Linked DNA regions of Oryzias latipes. The protein of the gene in region 2 binds, or shares a complex with, the protein of the main gene of each other region. Links are inferred from orthologs where the notes say so. Each region holds a gene or a part of one and is shown on either strand. Other genes may lie near its edges.

Region 1 (15,818 bases), on a different chromosome or scaffold from region 2:
TGATCTAAATCTGAAGAAGGTTTTAAGATCATTTACTTACATTTCTGTGATGTAAATGAGCTTCAGTTGTGCCCAGAACAACATGAATATGTGTTTGTACAGGAGCAGTGCATGCAGGAGGAGATCCTGTCCCTGAAACTGCGAATATCAGAGCAGGATGAGGTCATTAAAGGAACAGTCCAGAGGCTGAGGAACACCAGCCGCACCAAGGAGAGCATGGAGCACTTTATCGTCAGCCAGTGTGAGTGCCGTCTGCATGTGTGTGTGTGTGTGTGGGAGAAAGTGACATCCCACAGAATAATCACAAGGGCTGATAGAAAAGTGAGGAAATTTCACGTTGTGTCTTAAATAATTTAACATAAAATAAATAATAGTACAAATAGTAATCACAATTAAAAATAAAAAACAATAAACATACAGATTCAACATAAAAAAAACAAAGAAAAACAGTCAATAAAATCAAATTAAAACATGAGAAAACTACATAAAAGCTAAGATAAAGGATGTGTTTTGAGTTTTTTTCCGTGGATGAAGGCATCACATCATTCCAGCCCACAGTGCTGGAATGTGGCCTCGCTGTGGGCTTTTGTTCTGACCTTTGGCACCACGAGCCGAGCTGGACCTGATGGATCTGGGAGGGTCATAAACTGAAAGTAATTCTGATAAAAATGAAATAGAAATTTCTGGTTCTGAGTTCTGAACTAGCTGCAGCTGATTCATAGAAAGAAGGGCATTGCAATAATCTATTGCAGAAGTTTTAAAGTTTAATATTTCGGCCCTGGCTCTGGAGAGAAAGGGTCTCACTTGGGGAATACTTCTAAAATGATAAAAGGCAGTCTTTGTAACTTGGTTTGTTGGTGCTTCAAGAGGTAATATCTGCATCTGAAATCATACTGAGGTTTATTGCAGACTTTCAAATTATGCACTGATAAGTTAAATTGGGCACTCTCTTAGGAATGAAAATCCTTGTTTTGTCCTGATTGAGCTTGAAATTGTTTCAATAGTTACAAAATACAATTTAAAGTCCCACTCTAATCATCATTTGATCCATTTCCCATCATCGATCGGTTTACACGCTCTCCCGCTAGCTTACAGCCCCTCACAAACCCAACAGAACATTATCAGTGCAACAAAAATGGTGAACTATATTAGGGCTATCCAGCCGTACAGTTTTGAGCCAGATGCCAACTCATAAGAGGAAAGCGAAGGCGTACATGGATCTCTTTGTCTGCAAGTGGGTGCATCAGAATGGAGCTGCGCAGGGAGCTTGTGATCCGCTGATTGTAGATTTTAGGTCACAGCTACAAGCTGTTTCCAACTGCATTTTTCCGTCTGCTCCTGATTTACAATGATTTAAATAAAGAAATACTCAAATTTTAACTTTTTCTTTTCTATATATATGTCCTCCATCATTTAAAAAAAATGCCACAAGAACATCTACACCAAAAACACAATTTCCATTAGAATGGGTCTTTTAAAGGTCATTAATAAGTCCCATGTCATCAGGAGACACAGCCACATATAATAGGGTGTCATCAGCATAACTATTAAAGTTGATACCTTGTCTCCTAAGTGGAGACATGGCATCAAGCGGAGACTTGTACAAATTAAAAAATGTAGAACCAAGGATGGAACTTTAAAAGCAACACAGTTACACGAACAAATACTGTTTCTCCTTTTTGTTTTTGCAGTGTCAAGGACTCGTGATGTGCTGAAAAAAGCAAGGACAAATCTTGAGGTAACCAAACGCTTCACATGAACGTCCAGCTAGATCCCCGTCTGCACACATCAGCCGGATGTTTCTCTGGACCATGTGGTGTTGAGTCTTGTTGTCATCCGTTCAGTGTCTTACTTCTCCCTTCTTTCCTCTAAAACCCCCACCCCCACCCCCAGAAGAATGAGCAGAGACTTTCTTCTCTTAGCTCCTCCTCTTCCTCTCCCTATGCTGGTAATTGTCAAGTCTTGCCAGGTTCTGTTTTCATTTCCTCACATTCGTGTGTGAGGCGGCTTCTACCTGCTTCAGCTAACCATCCTGACATTTTGCATCACTTCCTAAAGAGAATTCCATCTTCACTCATCATTCCTGCTTTAGCAAAGTAACATTTAAAAAGTAAAGTATGTCAGATATAAGAGGGGGCTAATACCATCAGACACAAACAGACATCGTTTCATAACAGCAAATATACTTAGAGTTTTTGACAGCTGTCAAATAAAACCTCTATCCGTGCCATTCACTGGTGCTCGCCCTTAATATCAAACATAATCTATTTAAAGCTTCACACATTATTAGATTTGGATGTGTGACAAACTAAAAAAAGCTGTAACCTTTAGAAATAGCGCTTCCATGAAAAGCTTCATGCAGTCACACTATGAGGCAGAGCAAAGGAACCATCATAGGAGGTTTGAGGGCTGCCGCTTGCTGTTCGATCTCTCATTCAGAGCTGAGCTCACAGTAGTGTGCCAGTAGGTGCAGCCAGATGCAAATGAGTCCTTGCTGTTGTGCTATTTATAAACGAATTGCGTGACATTTTGAGAAACAAAAAGACTATATTGTCTATCCTGTTTTTAAAATTTTAGTAAGTACATTTTATTCCTATATTTGTTTCAGTATACTTCATATTAGTAAAATATGTTTGCTGATATTAACATTACATCAAATTGACTGTAACTTCAAAGTAAAGTACTATGAGACCAAATTTTAGGTCTAGTTTAAATGCTTGCTCACTTAAACGAGCTGTTAAATCATTTTTATGAGAAATAAAAAAAAAGAATATAGGAATGCTGTTTTGGAAAATATTTTATTAAGACAAAATGTACTTTTACTCTATGGTTGTGTCTGAATTCACACTCTACTTAGTGCACTTTATAGTGCTATTGTCATTTTGTCAGGGTGTCCAAAATCCATTGCCCTAGACATTAGTGTGCATTGGTGCTCACTGCATCAGCAAGTATAAACATCAATGCAATGGGTTGGAGTTATTTGTTTTTTTTGTTTTTTTTTTAAGTATTTAAATGTATTTTCTTTGTAATTATGCAGGTTTTCATCATCAGAACACAGTGAATTCATGAAAAATCTTTCCTATTTAGTAGGTTTTTACTTCAGCAAATTGGTGGCGTTTAAAAAAAAAACAAAAGTTGTGAGCATGTGTCCACATTACAGTAAAATCCAGGGCATTAGATAGTTACGCACTGTTTAGTCTTTTAGGGTGTAGTGAGGGAATTCTGACACAGCCTCTATGTTTTGTATGAATTGTAGGATTCCACCATCACATGTTTAATTCAAAAGCAAATACATATGTTACTCAAAATGTCAAGCTATTCATTAGGAAATATTACCTCCCTATGCATCTTTGTTTCCGGGTTTCACAGCCCTTTTCTGCCCTTGTCCAGCTAAAGACCCACCAAGTGTATCCAGAGAGCGGCCTGCTGGTCGGGGTGACCTGAAGTCCGGTGGTGTTTGCGGAGCAGCCAGCAACCGCCTGACGGCGAGGAAGCGCAGCAGCCAATGTCTGCTGTAGATGTTGACATACGCAGCCTCAGCACCTCTGACCTCTGTGATAAATTAGCCAAGACCCTGTAAGCCATCCCATTCACCAGCCTTCCCTCCTCATGACTGCCTGCCCACACTCACCTTACCTCTTTTTTATGGGCAGTATGCGCACAGTTTTATCAGCACATTGAGCCTTACCTGTTTGCGACTCTCTACCTTCCACCCTGTGCGTTTGTCTTTGGGTGACGCAGTCAGCCGTTTACCATGTAGTGTGTGTGACAGAAGGTTCATGGAAATGTGCCTACAGAGGTTTCAGTGAAGTGTGTCCTTAATCGTGGACTCTCAGCGTGGTTTTCCACAGAACAGGGGGGCGTTTTACAAGAACCACTTCTAAAACACAGATACGTACACCATCGTTAAAAATAAAAAGTGGTCAACTCCTGTTGGCCGAGGCTCTGTCATAGACCCTTTATCTGTGTCTAAAGACGCCCCTCCCCTGAGAGTCAGACAGTTTGTGGACAGAACGGATGTTTGTGCATGTTAAAAAAAGGCTCTTGAGAGAGATTCTGCACACATGTGCACACACTTTGTGTGTGAGTGAGAGATCAAACACTGCTCACCCAAAGACAAGACTCACATGACTGCCACAGAAGTGCAACCTCATGCTTTGTGGCACTTTTCCTTACATCTTTTTGAAAATGCAATGCAAAAAAACTGACATCTGTATTGTTATTATTAATAGTATTATACACAGTGGAAGAATGTACAATAGGCAGGTAAGTAGTTGATGTGTCTGTTTTTGTTGAGGAATCCTATGATTGATGAGTTAGCAGTAGCCAAGACCCATTAAAACCAGGGAAGGGTTCCTTTAAGTTACTTTATTTTGATTGTTGAGAGGCTTTATTGTGAACAAAAATCCAGTCTTGAATATTATCAAGCTAAACAAACACAACACCATAAAATATAGCAGTACACAGGTGGAGCCAGGCTAAACACGCGTACCCACTCCTGTGTAGGAGTTCTCATTTGAGCATGTGCAATAATGATGTTTCTATGTTCATTTTGGATCTTTGACAGTTACTGGATTATTATTTACACTCCGTCATGATGTGGACACGCCCAGTATTGCTGCTGTGTTTATTTCAATGCATGACAGAGTGTTTCGCTGGAAGTCTAAGCTATTGAAGATGAGATTGCAAATTCTTGCCAAAGTTTGACCTCTAAACTCCTCACTCTGACTTTGCCTTATCCATAAAGCCCAGAGTGGATCAACCGCAGGGTTACCAAGGTGTCTTTTATGAGGGCCTTTAGAACCACAGAGACGGTAACCGTTTGGACAACCAAATCAATCAGGACATTTGGAACTTTTTAGAAAGACGAGCTCCATTTCTTTTTTGGACCAAAACTCAACTCAAGCGAACTTTTTAGCCACGAGGCCAAATGCTTTTGTCTTGCTGTTATCTTCTCTTGGTTCAGGCCTTCATAGCATTCCCATGGCAATGGCAAAATGATGCAAACTTTGGCAGGCTGATCATTAGGTCTGTATTTTGTTTTTCTTTATTTGTTTGTTGGCTGTACACTTGGCATTCTGCGCTGTAAATAACCTGCTTTTTCTGTAGGGGTTTTGTGAGCGTGTTTGTGAACATTCAACATTTGCTTTTTGCAAAGTTGATCATCTGGGTAGCCGTGCAATAGCTGAAAACAAAAAGTGCTCACGTGGATAAAAAACATCTGCGTGTTTGCTGCTCGCCTGCAGTGTTTCTCAATAGATTCTGACACTTATGATCGATATTTAGTCAAGTAGGTTATGTGTGATCTCCACAAATATGCCTTTATGATATATATACCCATATATGACAGCAATCATTTATAGCTCCGAATAAAATTGGTTGGCCTGCCTTCAGAATTTAGTCTTAGAGCTTCTTCAGCTTCAGTGGTTCAAATGGCCTCAAGTTTTACCGCATTAGGCTTTATTTGCATTTGAATGAGACCAAGTATTTGAATCAATTAACGTTACATTATGTGGTGACTTCTAAAACTAAAAAGCCAGCTTCTGAATGACAGAGAAATGTCACCTTGTTAAATACAAACAAAAACTTTTTACTATTTGTTTCTAAAAAATAAAAATAAAGGGAAGAAAACCATTTGAAATGTTTGATTGGTTTGAAGTTGCATATGTATATAAAGCTTTTTAGGCTGCGAGAGCTGATGCAAGACACATGAATGCTAATTTTGGTGTGTTGTCTTAGAAATCAAGGCCTTTGAGAGAATAAAACAGTTGAAAAAGTTGTTTTCTCGTTTCATTTCTCATTGATTTAAGTTTCAATCTTTTAGATTTTAACTAGTTGCATTGTTGCTAAACAAAGTTTGAGCATTAATTCAGGGAAGTACATGCCACAAAAGACCATCACTTCCACAAACCCTTTACCAGAGCTGCACTTTAGAAACAACCATTTGGAAAATCTGTTTCATTGAAAAAGAAATGACCAAGAGAGTGGCATTAGGATCAGAGTAGTGTATTTATTTGCAGTACAGTACAATCTTCTATAGAGGATTACCACATTGTTTATGCTAAGCATTTTCATAGATTTATCAAGTATAGCTGCAAAATTCAAGTTTTGGTTTTAGCCCTAAAAGCCCTGGATCCATGGCTCTTTTCCAAACTCCTTTATCAAATCTTAGTTTTAAAAAATAAAGCCGAGCTTTTAGAAAATAAAAGCCCGGCTTAACATTCACAGAATACTCTAACATACCTCCGAGAGATTCTCCTTGATGTTTGAAGAGTTGTGAGCATTCATACGCAGGAACCAGCAGCTCAGAACCAAAACACGGGTGTGTCTTACATATAAAATTTAAATAAATGGCAACCAGTCATCATCAAAGCTCTCCTAGGTTCTCTTCATTTCTCAACATCAATGTATTCACAACATCTATGAAACTGAAATGTGAGCGCAGACAGACCTTTAAGCAGCTCCACACGTGTAACACACAGATACAGTACGATAGTTTTTCTTTAACAAAGCAGACAAATGTGAGAACACACTAATTAGATGGAAGACAATACAATGCAAAGGCTACTTACTGCATAGTTATAGCTTGTATCAACGATAATGCTTACAAACATTCATCAGAATAAAAGCAGCAGCTAAGCAAAGACTTTAGACCACTTCCTGTGTGGAAAAAAAAGAGCTACTAGTGAAAAAGAAAAAGAAATGGCTACAACTGTAGCTCTGGACTAAGCTGGGCATCACGGCTGCCAAAACAAAAACAGGAATACAAGCCTTTGGCTCAAACAGAATTCACAGATGATTTCATGACCCACTATTGCACTTCACCTTAACAAAAGGTCACCTGTCGTTCTGTTTACATTCAGCGAGCGACATAAAAAAAGTAACAACGCAAACGCAGCAGAAACAACAAAAAAAACAGACCGTTTACTGTCATCTAAAAACTACAATCACACAATCAAATGTGAAAACATACAAACACCACGCAGTGATTTAATCAGGCTCATCGGCAAGGAGATGTCACCAGCTAAAGCCGTAGTAGAGTTGTCTTCTTTTACCAAAACCCCACACCCTGTACCGTTGTTCAGAGCCCTGTGTAGAAGTGCGGCTTTCTTTGGAGCAGCCTGTAAACATGTTTCAGTGCAACTCCTGTCTATAAGTGATGGCAAACTGAAAAGAAAACGAACACGCTGCTCTCTCTGAGCATCTGAAGACGGGTTAGATGGGTTTGTACAGCAGAGAGGTGACATACTTCTTCTTGTATCTGTGAGTAGCACTTAGCACCATCACTCCATCCTACACAGAAGAAAAAAAAAAACAAAAGGGTTCAAGAGCTGCAACTCTGGAAGAAAAGAAATTGCAAAAATAATACAAAGTTAAAACTGCATCGTCCGCCCATTTTTTTGTGGAAAATATAAAAAAGCTGCCTCTTTTCAAGGTCAAAGGTCAACAACACTTTGGTTTGGGTAGCAGACTTAAAACGCCTAATTTCATACTCCTCATGGTTCTGTGGCCATCCAATAATAATTTCAAAACTTCCTTTGGATAGCCCCGACTCGTGTGTTTTGGTTTTGTTGATTTTTTTTTTTTGCCTCCTTTCATTTTTTGACAGTTTCGCCTGCTGTCATGTCATCATTTTTTGGAGGTGGAGGTGTCGTGTGCAAAGTTTGGGGAGTTTTTGAGAATGTGGCAGGGGTGACATTTTCACCAAAACATGCAGTAAGAAAGAAGAACTGTAAAAACAATCAGGTCCTTGCAGTCCAGGGCTAATTAAATGAAGACAAACTAGAACCAAAACTGTCACGATCAAAATTCAACTCAGCGACACTGAGGAAAACTAAAAAGATGAGGCAAAGAGGCAGATAAAAAATATATATATATTTTCCAATTTAAATGGAAAATTCTGTCTAAAAGCAACATTGTAACAGTGAATGTACCTTTATTGAGAGAGCGTAAAGGTGATTTAGCATGACGTGGTTGGGTTCAGGCAGCAGAGCAGGGTCACACTGAAGTGCAGAGACCAAAAAAAAACACAAAGATTATTGTTCAGAGAAACAACAGCAACATGGAAGCAGACGGAATTGACAGTAAAAGGATGAATCACTGAGAAAACGTAAAACACTGACTGATATGTTGGTGTCCTTGTTAAGAATGACTTGAAGCAGGTGAGGGGGGAGAATCGGAGGGGCTTTGAAGTGCTTTTCGGGTCTGAAGATGTACTGCTCTTGTCCGTACGGACCTGGAGGCGAGCTGGACAAGTCTGGAGACATGAAGATGTGTTCAAGGCCGAAAATGTACCAATCTATTTAGGCGAGCAGCAAGAGAACAAGATCTATCACAGGAGACGCACCTGATGTGTCCGAGCACTCCAGGGAGTCCACCTGCAGCGCGTCAAACACCTCAAAGTCAGACTTCTTCACCTGGATCAGGTTGTTGATCGTTCCCAGCTGGCTGGTTACCACCGGCTGCAAAACAGCAACGATCCTGAAGTTAATCATCTAACATGTCAAACATTAACACCTTAAAAAAAAACACAACTGCTATGACAAGCACCAAATGCTAAATGAAGAGACCAAACACACAAATTAACTTTATTTATAAAGCACTTTTCATTCTACAGTGAAACAAAGTGCTTTACAGACTTAACCCCCTGACGGCCCAATTTATTCCCAACAATTTCACTAATGCTTGTGCTTTTTAAGTTGATGCTAGATTAAGGTAAGTTTGAAGCAGAAGTTGTTTAATGAATATTTGCATGAATAAGGGGTAAAAAAAAACAATTAAAAATGAAATTATAAAACATACAGAACCATCCTGTCCAATCTGTTTTAGATGGGTTAGTTGACAAGTTTTGACCAATGCCAAGCTTAAAATCTGTTCTTACTGACTTATACTCCAAGAAAACATTTCCTATTGCTTCAACCATGTTACTTCATATTCAGTTAAGATGACTTGTTGCCAGCAAATTAGCTTGTTAACGCTTTCAGTTAATCCTTTAGGTTTTGATGTTGACTGCAACCCAGAAACCAGCAGAGCTCAAACTTTTTTCCACAAAAACTACAAGCACAGAAAAATGACTCGGGTACCTCTGAAGGATCATGAACCCACTGTCCATCCACGAAAAACTTATACTGGTGCTCTCCTTCAGGCAGGTCCAAAATGGCAACAAAGTCATTATGGCTTTGAGGAGGGAAAGAAAAAGCAAACAATATTAAAACGATGACAAAACTTCAAAACACATTCGACACCAGTATAACTGATGTAAAACCAACGGTTTACCTTTTATTCAGTGGAATCTTAGTGTTCCAGTTATTGAAAGAGCCTGCGATATAAACCTCCTTCCCCCCACCACCCCAGCGAATCACTGTGGGACGGGCCTGGGAGGCAGTTTTCACCAGGTCATCCAGATCCGGGGTGAATTCTTTATCTCCTAGCCCCTAACAGCAAACATAAATATTTATAATATGAAAGAAATGAGATTATATAGTGAAGTAGTTGGATTCCTACTTTAGACTCAGGTCCATAGGTGTTGAAGATGTTGGGATCATCTGTGCTGTCCACCATCTTGGTGCTGTGCTCCTGGTCTTTGTGGCTGCCGCTGCTGTCGGAACGATGGGCCTTGTTTCCATGCCGATCTCCAGATACCCTGTCACTTGTGTTACCCATGATGCTTCACTGCTTACTGTGCAAAATATAGGGGGGAGAAACTCTTGAAGTGGGAACTAAACCATTATTTATAACACTTTTATGACAAATGTTCATTCATGTTTGCATTGAGGATATTTATTATTCATATTTATCAGATGCTTTCTATTATTTTCTGCTTTCATAGAGGATTTTTGTCGTCTTTTCAAACAGTTTACAATGTAAGTCTTTTCTGAAAAACTTGTTTTTCACTGAGCAGATTAATGCCAAAAAACAAACTTGAAACTATTCTGTAAACACAGTTTCACTCGGTTTCTTAAGGGCATGTAAATGCATCTGGTGACAGTTTTTCCTCTCCTTATTTTTCCTTTTTCAGTTATTAATTTGAACCAAGTAAAGAGCCAGACTGACTTCAACTCCCTTGCTAAAAAAAAAGTGAACTCTGTAAAGATGATCTGATTTAAGCGAACTCTAGGATAACTTTTGTTTCATATTACTAAGAAATTACAAGAAAGTAATGTTAGGCAAAAATTGCTTAAGTACCAAAGTAAGCTTTTTAAAAAATATTGTATCATAAAACATTGATAAGATTGGTTTAAGTTAACGACATGCAACTATTCTATAATAATCATAGTAAAATGTACTTTTTACTAAAAACCTAAAAGAGAATACAACTTCTAATTGAATTTTGATCACATGATGGTGCTTGTTTTCACAAGCATCACCTTTTACGTCCCCACAGAGACACTGATCCCCCCTCCCCCTACATAGAAATGAGCAGTATAAACCTTTCACACTATAATCAAGTCCATCACTTCAAATTAGTTTACAAGCTAAGATGTCTTAATTTTAAAGGATAAAATAGTAGGAGGTTTCAGTGAACAACATAGATAAACGATCAAATTAAAAAAGAAAAAACTAAAAGCTCAGGGCACAAAAGCTTCTATTTACTACAAAGGCGCAGGTGTTTGCTGAACACTGTAGACTGGTGGGTTCACCGTGACACTGCTGGATTCATGGAACACTGATCAGCCTTGGCTTTAGTCAACAAACAGCAAATCCTATTTCGCTTTATGTCACATTGTGTGACATTCACATATGTCACACTCTGGTTTTACAGAAAATAAACTAAAATTGTGTTACTCGTGAGAGTTAAAGTTATAGCTATAAAAAACATCAAATCATCAGTTGTGATTGTTGTTTTTTTCTTCTTAGAACTAAGGATGATCCAGAGTCATATTTAAAAATAAATCAATCAAAAAACAAAACAGCCTAATGATGTGGAAAACAACGATACGTTTATCTTTAGATTATAAAGAAAATAAAAATATTCACAACAGCTAACCTACCCACGTTTAGAAGGTATTTTTAGCATCATGAACTATCAGTGAACTTCCCTGGACACAGATGGGTCCCTTCGAAAATCTGCTTTAACTACAACCGAATGACTTGCGAATCAATAAAAAGCTTAGTTCGTATGACAAAACACACTATTTGTAACCTACCGTGGTAACTGCGCAGGACGCTTTTGCTGTGCCCGCCTACCTCGCGACTGTCCTGGTGAATATTTTTAGCTGCTGGTCGCTGTTAAAGTCAGCTAGCAGCTAGCTAGCTGTCACTCTGCTTTCGAACCGGGAACTCCTTTCACTGTGTAAATAACAACTAAAACAATTTAACTAATTTGATAGAGTACTTGTTGTTGTTTTTAGTCATTTAAAAGAACCGAAAAGGGTTAGAAGCTCGGCCTATCGCTGCTGAGGCGATGATTTGTGTTGAAGAGCAGCAGGAAAGTCTGTGACACCAGCGAAGATCCTCCCCTTTTTACAACTACGGCGGTCGGTAAAGGAAAAAAAGCAGTCAGCCGCGACAAAAACAACATCCGGTAAACAAACAAACAAAAAAAAAAACATTTTTATGAAATTTTACAAATACTTAAATAAATGTAATTAATTCTTTATTTGGTGTCGTGTCTCTTCTTAATAGTGGTTGTAGTAAAATTATCCAAATAATGTACAATTTAGTCAATGTAATTTTTTTTTACAAATAAAATGAAATGAAATTAAAAGACATTTTTATACTATAAAATGTAACATATAGATGTATCAAGTATACTATTTATTTAATAAAAAAAAGATTTACCCTAATTTGCATAAAAAAATACAAATTATTGTGTTACTTAAGTCATTTAATGACGTTAATGCAATGAGCATAAGTGTTTCTCATTCATTTTAATATGTATTGTTGTCTATGTGTACTCTCGATTCAAAGTGATTAATTATTTAGGGGGGTTGTAATTACTTAATTTAATACACTGTATTTTAGGTAAAACAGCTGAGTTGACATCCCTGGCATTTTTCATTCTATCATAGCTTTTTTTCCATCAAGGTAAACAAAATGATTTAAATGACATTGTGGAAATGATAAGGTGTGATTCCCCCCCCCCTCCCCAGCAATTTGTTACTACAATATCAGCTCACCTATCACATCACAACTGCTTTGGTTGCGGGTGTTTATAAAATGTTTTAAAAAGTTTAAGTTACAACATTAACTGAGAAATTGAATTTTGTTTATTTTTTAGTGAGCGTATTTCTGTCCAGGGCTGTACTGTGGCGGTGAGTGCTCTTAGTTCACAGCGAGAAGGTCCTTGTCCAAATACCAGCTGGGACCTTTCTGTGTGGGTTTTCTCCAGGCACCCTGGCTTCATGCTAAAGTCCGAAAATATGCTTTATAGGTTAATTGGTGAGTCTAAAGTGTCCCTTAGTGTAGCTATGAGTGTGTGGCTCCATTACCGACTGGCAACCAGTCCAGGGTGTACCCCACCTTCGCCCAACAGCTGGGACAGGCTCTGGGGACTCTGTGACCCCGAAAGGGATACAGCAGGTTAAGAACATCAATGGATTTATGTCCAAACACTTTTATTCTGTCACTCATTTTTAAATTTTAACGAAAGACCATATTTCTGATGTTCATTTTTGATATTCATGAATTTATTTGCCTAAATTTTTTACATGCTTTAATATAAAAGAAAAAAAATTGATACATGACAGTATTATCCCCTGATATGTTTTTCATGATGCTATTTTCTTACTTTTATTTTTTAAAAGCCTCCTTTCCTTAAAAGACCAGACAGCCCTGATTGGTCAACATTTGCTGTAAAGCAGTTACTAATTGAGGCGTTTTCAACCTGATTCATATGGGCGAAGAAAAAAAAGGGGAAAAAATACATAAATTGTTTCTTTTAGCATTAAAGCCTTGCAGACTTAAAATCACCAAAATGGATAGTTCTGTATAATCTTTTTAACAGGACTAAACTGCAAAGCAAAGTACTTTAAATCCTTACAGCCTTAAGATATATAATTACAGGATTTCCTAAGATAATTTAAACCAAATAACTTATTTTTTTAGAATTTCATGGGGACTGTTTAATCAATAAAAGGTCAAATTTACTAATTGCAATGGAAAAAGTTCCAATACCTAAAATCTGACAACATCAAGAGCAAATCATAAATATGCATAACAACTAAAGCCAAAGCAGTCAAACTCTTTAAATATTCATAAATGCATTTTTTAACAAAACATAAAAGGCTAATAACAGTCTTATAGTAAAAATTTAAGAAAAAAGAAAACCTCCCACCTTTTAGCTTTAACATTTAAACACAGCACCAACCTGAACAGGTGAGTAACCCATGTTTTAAGGTCTTACTAAGGTCTTACTGGGTTGCAAAAATAGTCACACATGAGAGTGTTTCTCATCAGGAATTTCAATGCAATGACCATTTACCACTGTTTCATCAATAACTCAATAAATAGAATAACCGAAATCCTGTTCGTATAGTTAGTACATAAATACAGCATATATTTATAAAGATTGAAAAAATCATGTTCACGGTCTGCATCAAGAGGCTTTAAGGCACATTTCATAAATTACCACCAGAAGAATGTAGAGTTAGTCATTTTCACATGTCAAGAAGGTGTGTCGTGAAACACATTGATTTTTTGAGGACCAGTTGGCTTAAGCTCACAGCTGCTGATTAGATCTTTGCGTTTCTGTCGTCACATTAAGGAAGGTGTTTGAAACTTAAGGGTTCAGTTGTGCCTCTGGGCTTAAAACTCAGTGTCACCTTTCACATTTCATAGCAAACACAGCAAAGGACAAGAGTCAACCAACTCTGCAACAAAAAGATGTCTGTCTTTTTAACTAAAGTAATGCTGTGTCACAGTTTTTTAAAATCAAGCTTAAAGACCCACTCCAATTAAAATGGTATTTTTTGACAGGCTCTAGTGGCATTTTTCTGATGATGGGGGACTTAAATTCAGCAAATTAAGCTTAAAATGGCATTTCTGAGTATTTCTAAATTTAAATTGTTGTGAATTAGGAACAGATGAAAAAGAAAGATACCATTTGTTACGAAGAAACTACAATGACTAGGCAACAAGCTCCCGGCTCCGCTCCATTCCAACACAGCCACTTAAAGACAAATAGGTCCATGTACGTCTTTGTTTTCCTCATCCAACCTGGCATCTGGCTCAAAACTGTCCAATATTCATTTTTCTTGTACCACTGTTTGGTTGGGGGTGTGAGGGGTTGTAAGCACGAGGGAGAGAGTGTAAAAAGCTGAATAGTGGGGAAATGGGGGCAGGCTCACTCCGAACTAACGTTTCTGCCCACAACTTAGAGAGGAATTTCTAATGAACCACTGCCGTGCTGCAGAAAATATGTTCTAAAATACGATAGGTTTTTTGTTTTTGGCTAAAAACGTCATAGTTACACTTGGAACACTTTCAAAATATCTCACATGATGATCGGAGTGGGTCTTTAAAATAGAAACGCAGCATAAACAAATGACTCTTAAACTATTTATATCTATAGAACTGTATGGATTAAACATTGTTTAAGACTCAGTTGGAAAGGAGTGTTTCATGTGCAACCTCGAGGTAAAAATGAAAGCATGCGCACCACAACTGATTTAAAATATACTGTAACTACTGGCAGGCAAGTCTTACACATACAGCTTTCATTCCATCCACCAATAAAATCATGCTTTGTTAGCTTTTTTTTTGGTCCTTTAGAATTTTTTCTTACATCTTCAAGTCTTATAAATACAGTGAATGTTCTTTGTAGTCATATGCAGTATCAATGAGAGATTCCCAAGCCTGTCTTCATGTACTCGTAAACCACATAGCTGATGCTGACAGCTGGAATAACTTTCATGAAGTTTGGCAGGATGCCCCTGTAGAGTCCAAATAAGCCATCTTTGGCTACAATCGTCTTCAACAGGCCAGTCATGGAAACTTGCTCTGACGAACCCAGAGATGCTGAAAAGAAATACAAAACTTAAACTCTGGTTTGTGATTATTGATTATTATTAGTCATGTGGAGCAGGATAATTATTAACAGTTTACATTAACAGGATAGCTGGTGCATAGGCATTCCTAATTTTTGCAATGGATTTTTTAACCCTTGTGCTATCTTAGATGACCCCACCCTTACATTGACGTGTTCTCCCTACCATGACAAAGGTGGATTAAAGGTGGAAAGATTTCATGTGATCCATGGACACCAGTGAAGATCACAAATCATTGAAGAAAAAAGGTTCAGAGCACTGTCTAGTGGGTCTAGATGGCCCAACTCCCAAATTTAAAGTGTCTAGGATAGCACAAGGGTTACAACATTCTTAAGATACTGAGAAATTTATACAAATATGGTAAAGTAACTTTACACAGCTAAATATTCTCTGAAAAAAATGAAAATGTAAATAGTCTAAAATGACAAGACAACAATTATCAACTCAAAAATAAATCAAATAAAAATTTAAATATGGTTTCATTATATTTAAAAAAACATACAATTATATAAAAAAAATGTATTTGATAGTTTTTTATAAAAAAAGAACTTGAGGAATCTTTGCAGAGAAAAATGAGTAGTTCTTGAATTTATTAAGGAGTTTAATTGCAAAAATGATTAACAAGACATTTTATAGCTTTTGTTAAATGGAGTTTATTGTTTGTGAAATCAAAATTGATTTTTGCTCATTATATATGAATATTGCTGCAGATTCTTTAAATAAATAATAATAAATAACATTAAAATGTTTTTTTTAAAGACGTATTCAAGGTATTTACTTTAGAATGTTTTAATTTTGTATTTATCACATTGTCCAATGTTTTATGGGGAG
Region 2 (17,018 bases):
TTCCACCATAATTTAAAAATACATTCTTTATAAAATCAGACAATGTGATTTTCTGGATTATTTTCTTCTCATTTTGTCCTTAAAAAATGACAGGCCTCTGTAATCTTTTTAAGTGGGAGAACTTGCACAATTGGTAGCTGACTAAATACTTTTAAGCCCCGCTCAAAAAAGACAAGATGCAGTTCCTTCTGACCTTCTCTGTTGTTCCTCAAATCCTCAAAGCAAATATTGCATTTGGGTTGTTCTCCTTGCGATGAAACCAAACTGCTGCTCACAAATGTTCACTTCTGACCTCAGTCTAGCTTCCCCTTCTCTTCCTATAACTTTATTGTGACTCATCATCTTTACTCCTCTGTAGTTTTCACAACTCTGCGCATCTCCCTTCTTTCTTCTGGTCCTTCCATCCATCAGAAGATTTCTGCTTCATTCCTCAGACAACCTCTCCTGAGCACGTCCATACCTCCACAGGTGTGTTGTGAGGACCAACTGTATTTCCACTCTTCATCCTCTTCAATGTCTTCTTCACATCCTCCTTACTGATCCTTGGTACTTCCTCCTCTTTTCCTCTGCTCTCTAACATTTTCTTCATTCATCAGCTCATCGACGTTCTCCTCCCATCTTTCCATCACACTAGTAGAACCTGTCACCACATTTCCTTCTCTGTCCGTCATCCTCCTCACCTGCTGCAAACCCTTCCATCTCTCGTCTCATCTCACATGCATTCTTCCTATTTCATCTTCCACCACTTGGTCATCTGCTCTGCTCATGTCCTCTTCGTCTTCCTCACCGCCAGACTCATCCTCCCACCACCATCCTCAACAGTCTGGCTACACCCCCCACTGCCACCACTTTGCAGACTCTGGTCTTGTTCAGATTACATCTGTCCAAAATGTGATCAACTTGTGCGCTCCTCCCTCGACTCTCGTTTTCCTGTGAAGGTTCTGAGATCTTCACTCCTTTCTTTCCTTTTCTCTCTGCCTACAAACCCGCCTTCCTCCTGTCCTTCTTCCACTAACAGTAGTCCAGTTTTCACCAGCACACAGCATTGCTGGCAGTCGTTGTTAACCCGGCCCTCAACAATCCAACACCGAAAGTTCTGTTGGTATGATTTGATTTGGATGCTCTTCCTGAAAAAAACTCTGCATTTACCCAGACTGGTCTCTCAAAAGCACCAAATTCTGCCATCTTGTGGTAAACTGTAAACTACATACTCACAAACATGCTGGTTACAGGACTGAGTCACAGAAAGACTGTAAGTGTTGCAGCTTTGCACATTTAAAGGGAACTGAACTACGTTTGATCTGTCACCAACCATCAATGCTTTTGAAGTCAAGGAGGTAGGATCTGTTATCCACTTGGTAGAGCTGCAGGCTCATTTTCACCAGGTTTCCCGTCACTGGGTTCTTCCTCCGCACACGCAGATGGTATGGGTTCACCACCTGACACACAAGAACAGGCATATTTGCAGAGCCACATGTTTACTGCACAAACCTCTGTGTGTAGAGCTTATGTCGTTACCTTCCAGTCAAAAGCGAGTTGCCTCATAGCCCGGTACACCTCCGTCATGATGTCATGGGGTCTGCTCTGACTCCTGATCCCCAGGTGCCACTTGGCTTTCTTCACTGCTAGCGGTTTAGGCCGGGTGGTGTTGAGAGCATCCAGAGGACATCGAGACTTGGGGCTGTCAGCCATAAGTGGAGGCATCCTCTCTGGGTGGGGTTTGACCCCAGGGGGCAATGGCATACCCTCCTCTATAAAAGAGCCCTGTGGAGGACTGGATGCCAAGTAGAACTCGCTGGCCTGCGTCATGATGCGTCGATTATCTATGATGAGGTGATACGCCACCGCTAACTGATCCTGTGTGAACAGGAGGAGGAGGAACAATGAAGACAAGATAAGACATTTCTTCAGATGTGACATCCTACAGCGTGCAACTGCAAGCATAAAATACTAGAAATGATGTCGGAGCTTTAGCTAAAGACTACTGTGAATTCTGAAAAACAGTCCTGATGTTTGTCAGTACCTGTGGATCTCCACTGTAGAGGCTGGACACCACTTCAGAGTCTGTGCATTCAAACTTCTCACACACTTCTCGAACAGCTTCCTCATCCAACACAGTGCAATCGTACGACGAGTCCTCCGGGAACAGGTAACCTGGCAGGTCCTGCTTAAACCAATCATGTTCCCTAACAAAGCACAAGAGGAACAGTCAGCTCAACCGCAATACCCTGTGTTACCCTACAGGGGAAAGAGCGGACAGCCCCGAGCCTCAGTCTGATGTTTCTGTGAGTTTATTAAATTATTATTTCTTGCTTTACTTCCAAAACCCCAAAGAACTGATCTTCTGTAGTGGCTGGAACAAAAGCAAACACAATAAGACAAACGTGGGAGCTTGAACGTTGGTCTTCACGACCCTCTGTCGTCCACAGCTCTATGAAAACAGGAAGACATTATTTTTTTAAAAGCAGCATTGCTGTAAGCCCAGAAATCCTTGGACTCATTACTTATTATCAGCAAATGTCCCACCGTTGGGATGAAGAGTTTGCATGACTATAATGACTGCAGTCGTAAAGAAACCTTTTTTGATTCCAGAGCTTGAAAAACTATTTCCAAGACTAAAGGATCAAATATCTTCATTGAACATTTTCAAAGCTCCAAGACGCCTGATATCCTAACTTTGAAAACAAAGTGACTGGAGGTGCCTGATCAGCTACAGAGTATGGATTGACCACCAATCTGTCTGCTTACTGAGATCATCTAAAGGTAATAATTTAGGTCATCTAGGCTTGAACGGAAATTCATTTGAATAATAGCTAAACTGTTGGTAATGCAGCAGCAACATCAATGTAGGCCAACCACAGAGTGCTTCAATCCACAGCAATGTGTGTTTCTGCAGAGCTCTGGACTGGGGTTAGTACCTGATGTCTTTGATGGTGGCTCTTTTCAGCGGATCCACCTGTAGCATGAGCATTAGCAGTGAGGCCACAGAGCGGGTCAGGTACTCTGGCATGTAAAAAACGCCTCCTCTGATCTTCTTAAACAGTGTGGGAACATGCTCATCGTCAAAGGGCAGGGTGCCACACAGCAGGGCGTACAGGATCACCCCGCAGCTCCAGATGTCCACCTCCGGGCCTGCGTACAGCCTGGAAGAGGTAACAGAAGGGGCAGTAGAACAGCATGAGTGCTGCAAGTAAAGAGTTCCCCTGATTTCTCACTAACAATGACAACTTTTAGCGTGAAAAGAACAACACCAACCACTGTTCTCCTTTTCTGCACGGACTCACCTTCCGGAGATGACCTCTGGAGCTGCATAGTTTGGTGAGCCGCAGCTTGTTCGCAGGAATTCCCCGTCTGACATCATGTTGGACAGTCCTGTTGGTCAATGACACATCACAACTTGCTTTTGTGTGATAAAAACTGTGGTGGATACTTTTCAACGTGATTTCAAGCCCTGCTGAGATCTTTATCCTCTTCAACCTGCCAAGACTCTAAGCTCTAGACATAAAGCCCTTCTAATTGGATGAGGCTGTCTTTCTGTTCCGGTTGCTGCCAAACATTAAACAGCAGCCAATCTGAGCCTCTCTGACCTTCACGTTATCTTTTCTTCCTCATCTCTTCCTTCTCTTTCTATCTGCTGCCTTTTTGCTCTCAGCCAAACACTTCTCCTGCAGCACTCCCCCTATTCATTTCCTATCAGATGACACTGGGCCTCAGGCTTCCTGCCAGACTTGATATGAGACCTACACATTACCAAGGGACGCCGCTTCACCCATAACACCCGCCAACTGAGCTCTTGTGTGCCTATGAAATTATTTTTCTCTTTCTTGGTCGGATTGCAGCAGGAATTTTGTTTTAAGAAGGAAACATAAATAAAACCCAAACCGATGAGTGAAACTTTATATTGATTTATTTTTTTACCCTTATAAGTACACCATGTTGCTTTCCACCCGAGGCAAGTAGCACACAGCTGAGGTTCATCTCTGGAAAACCTACCAAAGTCTGCAATTTTGGCATTTTTATTGGCATCAAGCAAGACGTTCTCAGGTTTGAGGTCTCTGTGCACCACCATGTGCCGGTGGCAGTAGTCCACGGCTGAAATGATCTGCTGGAAAAGACGCCGAGCTTCTGGGTCCTCCACCTTAAAGACACAATGTCAAGGAAGATGGTTACTGTGTGGTTTGGAGAGAATGTGCAACCCTACTGTTACCGTGGTGATACAGTGTTCCCTCGCTATATATAATCTATATTCACCTTTCACCGTCTCGCTGATAGTTTTCATTACAATTTTGCATGCCAACCCTAGTGCGCTGTGTTCTGACAAGGTTTAGAGCCAATCAGGACACAGAACACTGTGTACTAGGGCTGGCATGCAAACGCTAGTACACAGTGTTCTGTGTCCTGATTGGCTGTAGACCTTGTCAATCAATCTCCTCATGGCCGTGTCTCCTGTACAGAATGTGTTCAACCTTCCAAATCGACATAAATCTTTGATTGCAATCAGATCTATAATACTAGACTTTATCTTCTATGAAGATTTGAACTTTGAGAGTTTGAATAAGAGAGAAAAGTGTGAAAATGTTCATGTCTGTCTGACTAAAGCACATGTGTCAAACTCAAGGCCCGGGGCCAAATGTGGCCCTCCATGTCATTTTCTGTGGCCCGCGAGAGCATAAAAGTTTTCAAATTCTTAAAATAAAAATAAAAATTTGTTTGTGTTTATTCACATCTATGAGGAATTGGACTTGAAATAACGGATTGGGCAACTATACATTAGGACTTAAACACTGTCCATATAACCTAACCTGACAGAATCAAATGTAAAAGAATTTATGAAAGAGTAACAAGCAAACATGTTTTTTTTTCATTACATTTAGTGACATGTATAAGTCATATCTGGCCGTTTGAGGACAGCCGCTATGCTGATGTGGCCCTCAGTGAAAATGAGTTTGACACCTCTGGACTAAATTGTGGAAAGTGTTGTGAGGAGTTTTACTGACTGCAGTTCTACTTCACGGATTTCCCCTCTTGCGGGTTGTTTTAAGAACGTAAGCCCCACAATAAACGAGGAAACGCTGTATTAGGAGTCACTTCGGGAAAGTGCAGAGAACTATCAACAGGAAATGACCGTCACCTTCTCCATCTGTTTGGGTAAAGGGTCACCTCGGTACATAAATTAGAAATAGAAGCTGTTGTGAAGACGTCTTCAAATTTTGTTCTCAGGTATTTCTTACTTTAAGCTTTCGTGCATTTCATCTGTTTGCTTACGTCTTGTTCCACCCTGCTGTTCTGGATCTTCACTCTTGTTTTCCCATCCGGTGTTACAACCTCAGTGTAGTCTTTGATTTCAGATACAAATCCTTTTCGTCATGTTTTTGTTTTCTTGAGTTTTTTTGAAGCTGTCCTGTTTGAGCCCAGATTTTATTCATGCCTTTGTTTTTTTGTTTTATATTCTCAAGTTAATTTCCAACATGTGTGAATGTCTGTCATTTGGCCTCAACCACCAAGCTTTCATTTGAAATTTTTAGGACTTTCTTAGGTATAAATGTTGTGGAAATTCCGGTGTTTTGTCTGGTACTGTTGAAGCCCGGGAATTGCTCTGAAAGGCTGCAATAGGATGGGCTATAGTTGGGTTTTAACTGAGAACTTCTGAGAACCGAGACGTGATTAACCCTTCTGTTATCTTAGATGACCCCCCCCCCCCTTCCATTGACGTGTTCTCCCTACCATGACAAAGGTGGATAAAGGTGGAAAGATTTCATGTAATCCATGGACACCAGTGAAGATCACAAATCATTGAAGAAAAAAGGTTCAGAGCACTGTCTAGTGGGTCTAGATGACCCAACTCCCAACGTTTAAGTGCCTATAGCACAAGGGTTACACAGTGTTGACAGGGAAACAGAAAAGCAAGAGCTTGAGAAAAAAAAAGGACTAAAATTCTAAATAAACAGATAGAGAAAACTGTCGGATCATGGTTTTATGTGTGCAGCTCTGAAAATAAAAGCCATGGAGGCTGATATTTAAAGACAAACTATGATTAAACCAAAACAGCATCAAAGTTAAATTGATGTGTCTGATATGACTGGGATCACGAAACCACAAAGTCTCCTAGTAGGTTGAGTGCTATAAATTATTCAACCCATTGTTTTCCTGTTTCTCTTTTTTCTTTATTATAGTATCTTCCGCCATATTTTGTCGCTTAATTCCTACAATTTTTCCGCTGTTTTATTCATTGAACTATTCAGGCCTTTCAGCTTTTTCCAGCTATGACTTTTAGTCCTTTAAATCCTTGAACTTTTCAAGATATTCCAGGATTTTTGCCTCCATTGAAATACATGGGGAATCCTTGGTGCAGAATCTCGCTGGCGTTTTTCACAAGTCATCTTTTTTGCTATTGTGCTGTTTTCCCTTTAATTATGGTCTACTTTGATCATTTCTTTCTTTTATTTTTTTTTGCCAATTATTACCCTTTAAGTTTCATTTTCATTCAGCAATATAGCATTCAACCCCATTTTCTTCTGGAAATGCAGATCCTTCTAGTTATGAATTAGGATGACGGATCTCTGAAGTCCAGGGTCAAATGGCAGCTAGGACATCACTTGAACAGCAGATGAACACAGACGGAGGATGGAAAAGCCTCACCCGCCCATTTTTGCAGATGTAGTCAAACAGCTCCCCTCCAGACACGTACTCCATCACCATGAAGAAATCTGTTGGAGTACTGATTACCTGGTATCTGGAACAAAAGCAGAGGCCTCATTGTTGTTGTCGCTCAATGTTATTTAGTCTTCCTGAATCACACACAAGGGTCGGAGAATGTGTACAACACAACTCAATCTGAGCCCCACACAGAGCACTACAACACTAAAAATGTGGGGAATGTTTCTGCAGGTGCTGCACGGGTCACCTGAGCCTTCAGACGATCGGGTGTGGCCTAAAGATCCCCGCTCACAACGCTTCACAATGAAAAGTAGGACAACATTCTTCCAGAAAAATACAAGAGGCATGGAGGAGGATTGAAGGCAGCGTGTAAACAGGAGGGCACTGAGTGTGTGGTCCAGCTTGTGAAGTGTGTGAGCGAGCTCTTCAAAGAGCAGCCGCCGCGGTGTCCAACAGAGACAAAAACGCCAAGAGCTGAAGCCGAGCAGGCCTTCATTCCAGCAGCCGCTTGAAGTCTTAGAGGGACCACTTACAGCTTGATGATGTGCGGGTGTCTGAAGAGTTTGAGGTTCTGGATCTCCCGTTTGATCTTTCCCACAACATCGAGGCTTCGGATCCTCTGTCTGTTCAGGATCTTCACGGCCACTTTATGTCCAGTCAGCTGATGCTCTCCAACTGCAGCAGACATGAGGGGACAGACAGGCCTTTTAGACCACAGAGCAAAGGGAGCTGGAAGGATAAAAACCTTGTTAGGATCAGTTCTGCTTGTCCTGATGGTCCAACGACCTGTAACTTTCTCTCTGCCTGTTTCAAAGCCCAGACAGCCACGTGAATCCAGATCTGAGGTGGGCTCTCCTTTCACATGACCCCCCAGAGAGAAGGAGGGGATGGGACTCATGGGAAAAATGCTTCAAGTCCACCTTTCTTTTGACGGTGAGACCACCAGAACCAAAGCAAACGCGGGTTGGCCGTGAAAGCTCTGTACGGTAGCGGTTCTGTTGGGTTGACCTGGGCGCTCCGGACACCGAACCAGGAGAACCCTAGCCGCCGATCTGGGCGGGGGAAGGGGGGGGTGTTTTATCACAGACGGGCAACCCCCCTATTATTGGGCCGGAACGGCTTCAGAAATGACCCCATCCAGCTGCTCGGTACCTGCTCCGGCGGCGCGCGGGGCTGCGCACGCGGCGCATGTTTGACTTTGAAGCGGCCCCATTCCCAGATCAAAGTTACGCCCCTGACGTCGACCGTTAGCTGCGCAGCACCGAGCGGCTACGCTAACTTCTCCGAGTCAAGTTCACGCGGTCCACTCAGAGGGCGAACCGCTCCGAACCGAGCCCCGCCACGCACGCACGCACGCACAGACAGACACAAACACACCACTTAACTCTTCACTTTGCCAAACGTCCCCACTCCCAGCGTGTCGCCGAGGATGTAGTGTCCGATCTTGACCCTGCCTTCGTGCTTCTGCTGTTGCCGCTCTGCCATCTTCCCGTTACCGACGGCCGCGCTGCTCGGTGCGCGCGCGGAGGGGCGGGAGGACCGCGAGAGGCGGCTTGTCTGGTGGAGGTCAGGTGCCAGCTGTCCGAAAAAAAGAAACGAGCATCACGCGGAGCTTCCACGGGTTGTTCCTCTCAGGAAGCGAACCCCTAACCCTCCGTGAAAAACGGCTTTGCTTGTGGTGAAGGCACAAAGCTGCACGAGCTCAGCTCAGGCACTCCAAGATACGAGGAAAACCAGCGCAAAAGACCTTCATTTACGTCACTGTGGAAGTGTTTGGACTAGCGCGTGCTGATCTTTTTAAAAATAGGAACCTAAATGCAGCCTTAAGGCGCTTTGCGCTTTCTTTTACTGCTTCAAGTCAAATGACACATCCTGAAGTCCTTTCTTTCTCATTGATATCTGTTGAAGTAATTCTACATTTGTTTAGGAACAAACCACAGATTTGAACTACATGTGGCTCATTTATAGTGGAGTGAAAGGCTCAACCAGTGCTGCGTTCAAGGTCAAACGTCTGTTCCAGACATTCCCCCTGCTGTTATGCTCTTCTAAAATCCAATTACACCGTCTGTCCCATCGCATGGCTTGTATAACTATGTATTTATTTACATTTAGATGAAAAAACTTTATATATGCTTTCAAATATGTTACTTTGGATGAAATGGTGAAAGAAGATTCCGAAAACTAATTTTGTTATTTGTTGGCCTAATTATGTTTTTAACTAACTGAGTGAAACTGTGAAATTTCGCACTTAAACTAATTAAAAACTCCCTTTTCACTCCTGCCCAAAGAGAGTGAAGTTCTCCTATTTGGCCAGAAGATGGCAGTATATACTCGATATTTGCTGGACTGTTTTAGCCATGAAAGTTACATTTATATAAATAAATAAGATGACTTGCGCGAGTCGTATCCACTAAAACACCAGTATAAGAATGTATGGTACCTAATTAAATGTCATAATTAGTTATCAAATTTGGAGTTTTTATCCACACCATAGTGTATTTAAAAGATACAACGGGAGAAAAGAAACTGCAGCAAAGCAAATAGCTTCGACTGAATGAAGATTTATTTTGCTTTTTAACCCACACGCACGCTCACACGCACTCTGACCCTGTTGTGCGTGCGTCCCGGTGAACTGGGGTGACTGTGAACTGCTATAGGAGCGCTCCGGAGCGCGCAGCTCTCAGCAGTGCGCCTGTAGTACCGCGCATGGCCACAGGGGGGTATGTTGCCCCCCCTTTCTTCGCAGACAGTGTCGGAACTATGGGATGGGGGCGATTACCCACCGCTAGCGGAGGGAGGAGGAGGGCCGAGGCTGCAGCGAGAACCTACAGGGAGGAAGGGGGAGGAGGAGAAGACGGGTTGATATAACGAGAAGGACACTTGATGCGCAGCGCCAATTCTTTCTCAGTCCAAAGTTTCCGTGCCGTTCGGCCGCATGTGACTTGTTGTTGTGGGTCCGTCCAGATCGACTGAAGGACTGTTTCTCCTCCTGCGCGCTGTGGGACTCTGAGCTGAGAACGGACTGAGAGTTTTCCGATGCAACAGTACATGTATGAGAAAGCAATGGCCCAAGAGACAAGGAACGGTGGAACCTCGACGTTAAACAGCAGCGGTGTTGGGAACAGTAAGAAGAAGTTTCTGGTGGCGCTTGACATCTTCTGCCTCCTGCTGGGTAAGTTGTCCCTAGCGTCCTCTTTCCTCCTGGCTGCTGCAGTCTGAAAGTCTAACTTCTGGCCCACTTTCCTCTGGAAACAGCAGATAAGAGACCGTTTATAATGGCTGACAAATAAAAGCCTTATCACGCTGAGCGTTTGGCCAGCATCTCTGACAGCTCAAGAACTGGAGCTGCAGCATCCTGTTATCATCCGACCCATGCAGACGAGTCCAGTCCCCACCCAGGTTCCAGCTGCCATGTTCATCCGTTTATTCATTCTTCTGATTGTTCTGAAAAGCATTTCAACTGCTGCATGTTCGCCGTGTGAAGAGGAGACGGGACTGGACTGTTTTCTCAGCTGAGACGGCATCCTGAAATAAGATGTTCCACTCACGGATGGAGTGTCACAGCAGTGCGGCGCTGCCTGCAGCCTGCCAGCACGCCTTCAGCACTAATGTTTTCAAGTGTTGGAACCTGCCCCTTTACTGCCCCTAAAATAGCAAGACGCCCCTTCATGTGCCCCAATAACCTCACTCATCTGACCTTTAACCTCCAATGCCTTGCAGGCTGAGCTGCCCATACATAGAGATGGGGGGGGGCAGAGGGGGCGGTCAAAGCTGAAGTTGTGTTTGGGCCGACTTGTTATTCTGCAGGCGTCCCGGTCCGATCCGGCGTGTTTGTGTGCGAGGCTTTGATGGCCGTTTTGTGACTCTAGCTCGGCTCTTTCAGTTTAGAGCTGAAGTGTTTCTCGCTTTTTTTTCTCCTTTTCTCCTCCATCTGCTTTGTTCAGAACTTTTTCCCCACTCTGCCCCGGAACGCAGCAAACCCCTGACCAGCTGCCCCGAGCGCTCCACGTCAGGCTGCTGTCTCTCTTCCCAGCTCCGGCTGGCCAGGAGAATGTGTGGAATAACAGCTTACCCATGTGTCATGGCAGGGGGGGGAAATACCTCTCCAATTTAGAAGAGAGGGGCTGAAAAGTGGGATTTGTGGCCGACCGGGCTTTAGAGGAGCAGGTGGGAGTGACACCAGCAGCTCTAAGTTGAGAAGCTGAGGCCTTAAAAACGGAAAATTGTCTGAGGGAACTGGGTTTTGTGACCCTGCTGTGGCAAATGTTGCAGATTGCCTCCACACTCAGTTTAATGGTGTGAGGAGGAAGCGGATCTGTCTGACAGCGGCAACGTCTACTCGTTAAAGAACCTCAGACGGCGATGCTGCATCTCAGCTGGGCTCCTATAAATGCAGATGCGCTTTGAGCACATGTGGAGCGAATAAACCAATTTCCGTTTGCACGTCTGTCTGCGCTTCTGATGCTGCAGACATTTGGATGTAAACACACGCCATACATGTAAATACACAGGTCCAAACGGGCACAGATTCCACTTTGTTATGCTAAACACAGCCTGGCTGGGCTGCTGGATGATTATTGGTTGGCCCACTTTAGCGGGATTGTGGGCAAATGGGGTCAAATGAGAAGTGAAGGGGGGGGTGGTATTGGAGCATTCTGAGGGGATGAATGTGGGCGTATGGGGGGGTTCAGAGGGGGACGGCCCAATCCACGACCATCTCCCTAAAGGTCTGATGTCCTGAGGCTTCACGTCTTTAGGCACTAATAGCACAGAGACATGAACAGAATGTGGAGCTCAGTAATGCTCAAACACACACAGACCACAAACATTATGTGCTCCTTTCACCTCAGTTCAGCTTCTGCTCTCACTGAGATGCTTTAGCAGCCATAAGACACACGCTCACACAAACACCAAGCTCTCCACACACAAACTTGACAGCACGCTGCAGAATTGCACTCCTCTGTTCCTGAAACACTGTCCAGTTCCTCTGAAAGGTCTTTGTGAAGCCACAGACACTCAGGCCCTCCGCAAACCAAACCTCTAAAAGCAGTTTCCCCTAAACTCGAACAAAGGTTTGCACCGTGCAAAAGGAGATTGTGTTTATGATGCATGGAGTCTCTTTTTATTTGACTACTCAGTTGCAGTAGTTCATCCTAAAGGCCCCCCAAGCCTCATCAATTCATGTGAGACACAATCTGTAGACTAGCTGTTTTCTATTTAACCGCTTTGTCAGGTTATCTATATTATTGACACCTGGAGCAAAAGCCACACGGCTGGCTTTTCATCATCAGAGTAAGGCTTGTGTATTAAACTGTTGCCTACTTCTGCCTGTGCCTTTGCAGTCTGCCTGCTCATTCAAGTGGAGGACTAGAACCTCCACAAGCCTCGGTCACTTCAGCCGCTCAACAAATATTTTCTAGAATGTCCCAAATTCTTCATCTGGTCAAAGAATTATGAGACATCTGGTCTGAGTCGGAGTGAACCAGGGGACACTGTGTGTGTGTGTGTGTGTGTGCGTGTGTGTGTGTGTGTGTGTGTGTGTGTGCGTGTGTGTGGGTGTGTGCGTGTGTGTGTGTGTGTGTGTGTGTGTGTGGGTGCGCACGCTGGAGCGCAGGAAAGGGTGGGAAATGGAAAGGTAGGGTTCGGTCAGACGTAGGTGTAACTGTGAAATGAAATCCTGTTTTTTTTTTGCCCCGTGATGCATTTCCATCTTACTCCCGCTGTCGTTGAGATGGTTCTAGCTGCTCCAGCTGTTAAGGGAGACGAGCGTTAGAGATAAGTTATAATAAAATAACTAAATGAGTCTCTCTTTATTGTTCAATGAATTTGTTAAGCAGATGTAGACAAATCTAATCCAACTTTATCCCTTCTGGCGGTCATGTGTATTCTGGGGGCCATCCCAGTCTCTGTTGGGGTACAGCAGGGATGGTCCATTGCAGGGCTACACAGTAACAGATAACAACACACAATTTAAGGTCACCAATTAACCTAATGACGTGTTTTCAGACGGTGGGGTGATCAGGAAAGCTCAGAGAAAAACCCACACAAGCACAAGGAAAACACACAAACTCCACACACGAAGATCTCAGCTGAGATTTGAACCAGAGGCTTCATGCTGTGAGGCGAGAGAGTGCTAACCACCATGTAGCCCTGAATGGAAGATGTTTGACACGCTGTCCCAGGCAGTTTTCATGTTTGCCAAGCGTCTACAAGGGAATCCTAGTCAAACAACAAGTGTGAGGGATTCTAGCACAAACCCTTTAATTGAAAAGCAAATATTCTCACTGGCGACCCAACAAGGATCCTCCTGACAGGCAGTGATCATGAGTGATGGGAGTAAAAGTCTTTTTAAAGCAATCGCAGTTGTAATTGTTATAGCGTGTTCTTCGGTGTCCCGGTGTGGGTCCTCTTGAGCCCTGTGTGAGGGTGTGGAATGAGTGGACACCAGAAGAACACACTGCTCAGGTGCGGTGCAACAGAATTTAATAAAACGCTTCTGGAAACGCACAAAGAGAAGATATCTTCCTAGTTATTGTGTCCATGAGCTGTCCAAAGAGAGGCGTAACAATTTAGGGCATTTCTCCACACAAAAGTATCTGAAAGGAGAAAAAAAGGGGGTTAATGTCTAAGAGAGAAATAGACAAGCAATTATAATCCTCCACTCAAGAACATTTCACTAAATTAGGGGAAACACAAATCCATCTCACTAATGGATCCAGCACCAGTATAGTTGAGGACAGACGTAGATCTGTGGTCAGAACCCAGAAACCTCATGGAGAGCAGAGCCTTAGCAACAGAAAAGGTTCTCCAGCAGAGATCTGCTCCGTGAAGCTCGCTTAAAGGAAGCAGGAGGTTGATCACCTGACACAAGGTGCTCCATGCAGGGAGGGGTGCAGGATTGGGACATTGTGTGACATTTGAAGAGGGGGTCATGAGTCGGCAGGACGTTGATGAGCTCTATAGAGTGGTGCATTAAAGACAAAACATCTAAAGGTGCACCCGACCTGTCCGCTGTGTTTTCCAGCTGGATTACATACAGTTATGCTGCTTTAGTGGCTGTCCTGACTGGGGAGTTGAGTTGCATCCTGTAGCTGCAGGCTAAGGTGGGGCAAGGTCTCTGTAGGTAATTGGATGCTCTGTCAGAGCAGCAAACTATCAGCTGTAACTTCTGACCAAGAATGAAAAACGTGCAACGTCTGTGTCTTTGTATAGATGTGTGTTAGTGTGTTCCACTTTCAACAGTCACTGTTAAGTGTGGCTGTCTGCTGCTGCAGCTGAAAGTGGGGGCTTGCTGCTGGGGGTGGGCTTCATGAAGTCCGTGATGCAGACGGGGCGCTGTCATTAACATGTGCCAGGCGTCTGTGGGTTCATGTTTGGGTGTGAGTGCATGTGCAGATGTCCCATGTAGTTATGGGAGCAGGCTGAAGACTCAGACTAACTAATCCATGCAGGCCAGACACGTTCTGCTCTTTTTTTTTGCCCCCGTCTTCCCCATGAGAATCCATCAAATTGCACGGTAAAGAAAAAGGACAGCTTTCTCGCTCTGACGGCTGTGCAGCGGTAAAGCCTCTGTTTCTGCTGTCTCTGTCCTAGCTCGTGTATGATTACACATCTCCTTTCTAAACACCTTCAGACTGCTTATATAAATCATTTTGGATTACTGGGCAGGACCCTGCAATCACCTTTTGTTAGTATTCATTTCTGCATGTGTCTTTGTGCTTAGGTTTGAGTCAGTGGGGTAGGAGTGTCTTTCATGACGTTCTGCATGTCAGGCTGTGCATCACAGTTACACAAATTGGAAGTTTTCTGTTGCTTCCAGCTTTTTGTCCCACCGTTCCATCTGTGTGTTTTGGGTGCACAGATTAGACAGGCGAGCCTTCAACAACAATGCTGTGGAACGGGGGGCCTCATTACATCTCTATGTCCCTTCCTTGGGCCTCCCTGCTGTCACACAGGCCTGCCTGTCTGTCGCTTTTTCGCACCGCATCGCCCGCTATAATCCTCAGTATTTGTGAGTGCACATACGCTGTGCATCTAGGGAAAGGGGGGGTTGGGGGGGGTCATTTAGATTTCACTGTTACGTAGAGAACAATGACCCTTTTGAAGCGTCTCAGCATTCTTTGTTCCGTTAACGAGAACCAACAGACCAGTGGCAGACAGGAGGAGGATGAAATAAAGGGGGTAGAGGTGGGCGGGCATCTCCCTGGGTGCCCGCGGCTGCTTCATTACCCTACTGTGGTTTGGGACGTTGTTGCCTCATTCTTCAGTGTATGAAGCAGCACTTATCTGCTCACTCAATCAGCTCAGCATCTTCTCTGTTGCTGGCCTTATCTGGGCTGTAGCGACTGAGGCCTGTCGTGTTTACACACAGAGGCCGGGCTGAATGAGACGGCCGTAATAGGAGCCAAAACCACAGGCGGCATTCACACTGCAGGGCCACTTTGACGGGCATTGTCTTCAGATTTGCACAATCACCAGTGCATGCAGAAGTGAGCGAGATGTTGGGAAGTTATCCAGATAGAGGAGTCTCATTTCAAAGAGTTCCCAGCCTTCTTTTGTCTTAAGGAGCCAAAACTGTATTGTGGCAAAGCAGACACCACCAGATAACACAACAGTTTGATCAGGTTTCCACTTATCCCTTCAGTTTCCCTCATAATCTGATTCTCTCTTTCTGAGCTGTAATCCATCTTTCTTTTTAATTGCCTGTTGTTTTTCTGCTCCCTCAATGTGGACCATTGACTGTAACTAAGAACTGGACTGAGTGACTCCTCCCCTAGGCGTTCCAAACAGGAAGTACCTGCTGGCTCCTAGAAGCCAAAATCCCATAGACGTCAATAGAGAAACAAACAGATGTTTGTCATTCTATTGGTCAGAATAACCATTCTTGCCCTGATAGATTTTTTTAAACATTTTCTTAATAATTCTAATTTTTTTCCCACATCTTTTTCTGTAGTCCAAGCATAGACGGTAAAAACAACAGACAGCTTAACCCCTCTCTTCTTGTGTTCCCAAATAGGAGGTACTATTGCTTCCTGATGCGGGCGCCGCCATGTTGAAACCAATCAACAGTGATTGGTCCGAGTCTCTCTGAGTCATCGAATCTTTGGCAACTATTGTCGCTATTGCCATAGATACGATGACCCAGAGCGACTCGGACCAATCACTGTTGAGTGGTTTTTAACACGGTGGCGCCCGCATCAGGAAGCAATGTTGAGGGATTTCCCCTCAGTTCACGAGAGCCAGAGGTAAGGCCTTTTCTATGGGTGATCCCACAATTCGATTTGTCCGTTATTTTTACAGTCCATGAGTCCAAGTTCCTCAAGTTATCAACTGACCAATCAGACGCCTCATGAAAAGTAGGCGGAGTCTGCTGGTCCCCACGTCCAATGATCAACACGTTTGACAGATTCTCCCCAGGCAAGTGGTAGGGGTGTGGCCTTCCAACAAGCTCAGCTCTGATTAGCAAAAGTGGTTGCCATAGTAATGATGGCTCAGACTGACTCGGACCAATCGCTGCTTACTGACGTTGTCCGGCTCCAACATGGCAGCATCCGCATCCTAAAAATTGACATCATTTGATTGGAGCCAGAAATAAAGTGATTTCTATGGGCGACGTCAGACTCACTCGCTCCAGTTCTCAGATTCAGTCGGTGGTGTGGACCAGAGATGGCCTCACTCAAAGGCCTGTGCTGTGCTGAGGCTGCCCACACAAGTGCCTGCAAGTAAAAGTGCCCCTAGAGAGCATCGCAGCAGATGCTTGTGTGTAAAAGGCATTTATTTCTGTGAATAAAATCCATCTGAGTAAGCAGATGCTTCTGTGAGTGCCCCCACCCCACCCCTGCACCCCCCACCATTCACACAGAGGGAGGAGAAAGGACAGGGATCCTCTCTGCACACCACCCTGCTGACCTCAGCCACTCTAGTGTGTCTGTTTGTGTATCTGAGCATTCTACATGTGTGAGACACATCAGCGGCCCGTGGAAACCGCGAGGCCACCTCTGTAGTTGACACATGTGCAGCAGCGTCCATCCTCATTGCTTCTGAATGTAGGATCTCCAAATTATCATTATAGGATTAGGTATTTGGAGGGGGGTGGGTGTTCCTTTTTTGATTGCAAGGACTGACATGAACCACTGCCATTCCCCTGAAACACCACAGAGGCCCATTCCTACCTCTACAAACTCTACATTACAGTCACATCCATCACCCCTAACTCTTAGCCCTGAAACTACGTCCAGTGTCTGTCAAGAGCCTCAAATATGCAGTCACCTGTCATAAAAGTATCAATTTGATTTTTGATTTGAAATGGTTTATTTCAAGCAATTAAGTAGAAATAATACACAAAAGCAATATAATCATCA

What was found.
Region 1: the proteins of prkaa2 (region 2) and 5'-AMP-activated protein kinase subunit beta-2 are in contact, whole or in part, in a crystal structure (PDB 6B2E), measured with the Homo sapiens proteins. The link is inferred for Oryzias latipes from reciprocal best matches to the Homo sapiens genes PRKAA2 and PRKAB2. Residues at the interface, in NP_006243.2 of Homo sapiens: Gly9, Arg10, Val11, Lys12, Ile13, Thr21, Asn48, Arg49, Val58, Gln66, Gln81, Val82, Ile83, Ser84, Thr85, Pro86, Thr87, Asp88, Phe89, Met134, Met164, Ser165, Asp166, Gly167, Glu168, Phe169, Leu189, Ala191, Glu194, Pro253; in NP_005390.1 of Homo sapiens: Val60, Ser61, Gln64, Glu67, Asp68, Ser69, Thr73, Gln74, Ala76, Pro78, Thr79, Val80, Ile81, Arg82, Ile106, Ser108, Val113, Ile115, Val155, Ser158, Asp159, Phe160, Glu161, Phe163, Asp164, Lys167, Leu168, Gln191, Met193, Tyr194.

Annotation. Positions count from the first base shown.
Region 1 is NC_019875.2:22,979,116-22,994,933, forward strand, and holds 5'-AMP-activated protein kinase subunit beta-2, read right to left. Parts: upstream 11,470-15,818; 5' UTR 11,148-11,469; intron 9,680-11,147; 5' UTR 9,664-9,679; coding exon 9,505-9,663; intron 9,435-9,504; coding exon 9,277-9,434; intron 9,178-9,276; coding exon 9,084-9,177; intron 8,463-9,083; coding exon 8,348-8,462; intron 8,258-8,347; coding exon 8,124-8,257; intron 8,004-8,123; coding exon 7,935-8,003; intron 7,294-7,934; coding exon 7,216-7,293; 3' UTR 5,990-7,215; downstream 1-5,989. Other genes in the region: pde4dip (myomegalin), read left to right, coding at 1-19, 103-241, 1,692-1,738, 1,894-1,948, 3,391-3,518; calcium-binding mitochondrial carrier protein SCaMC-1, read right to left, coding at 14,777-14,958. UniProt on the Homo sapiens protein: Non-catalytic subunit of AMP-activated protein kinase (AMPK), an energy sensor protein kinase that plays a key role in regulating cellular energy metabolism.
Region 2 is NC_019862.2:3,523,822-3,540,839, reverse strand, and holds the start of prkaa2 (5'-AMP-activated protein kinase catalytic subunit alpha-2), read right to left. Parts: upstream 8,453-17,018; 5' UTR 8,143-8,452; coding exon 8,043-8,142; intron 7,333-8,042; coding exon 7,191-7,332; intron 6,734-7,190; coding exon 6,640-6,733; intron 4,139-6,639; coding exon 3,994-4,138; intron 3,373-3,993; coding exon 3,285-3,372; intron 3,144-3,284; coding exon 2,919-3,143; intron 2,187-2,918; coding exon 2,024-2,186; intron 1,858-2,023; coding exon 1,519-1,857; intron 1,440-1,518; coding exon 1,313-1,439; intron 1-1,312. Other genes in the region: plpp3 (phospholipid phosphatase 3), read left to right, coding at 9,694-9,829. UniProt on the Homo sapiens protein: Catalytic subunit of AMP-activated protein kinase (AMPK), an energy sensor protein kinase that plays a key role in regulating cellular energy metabolism.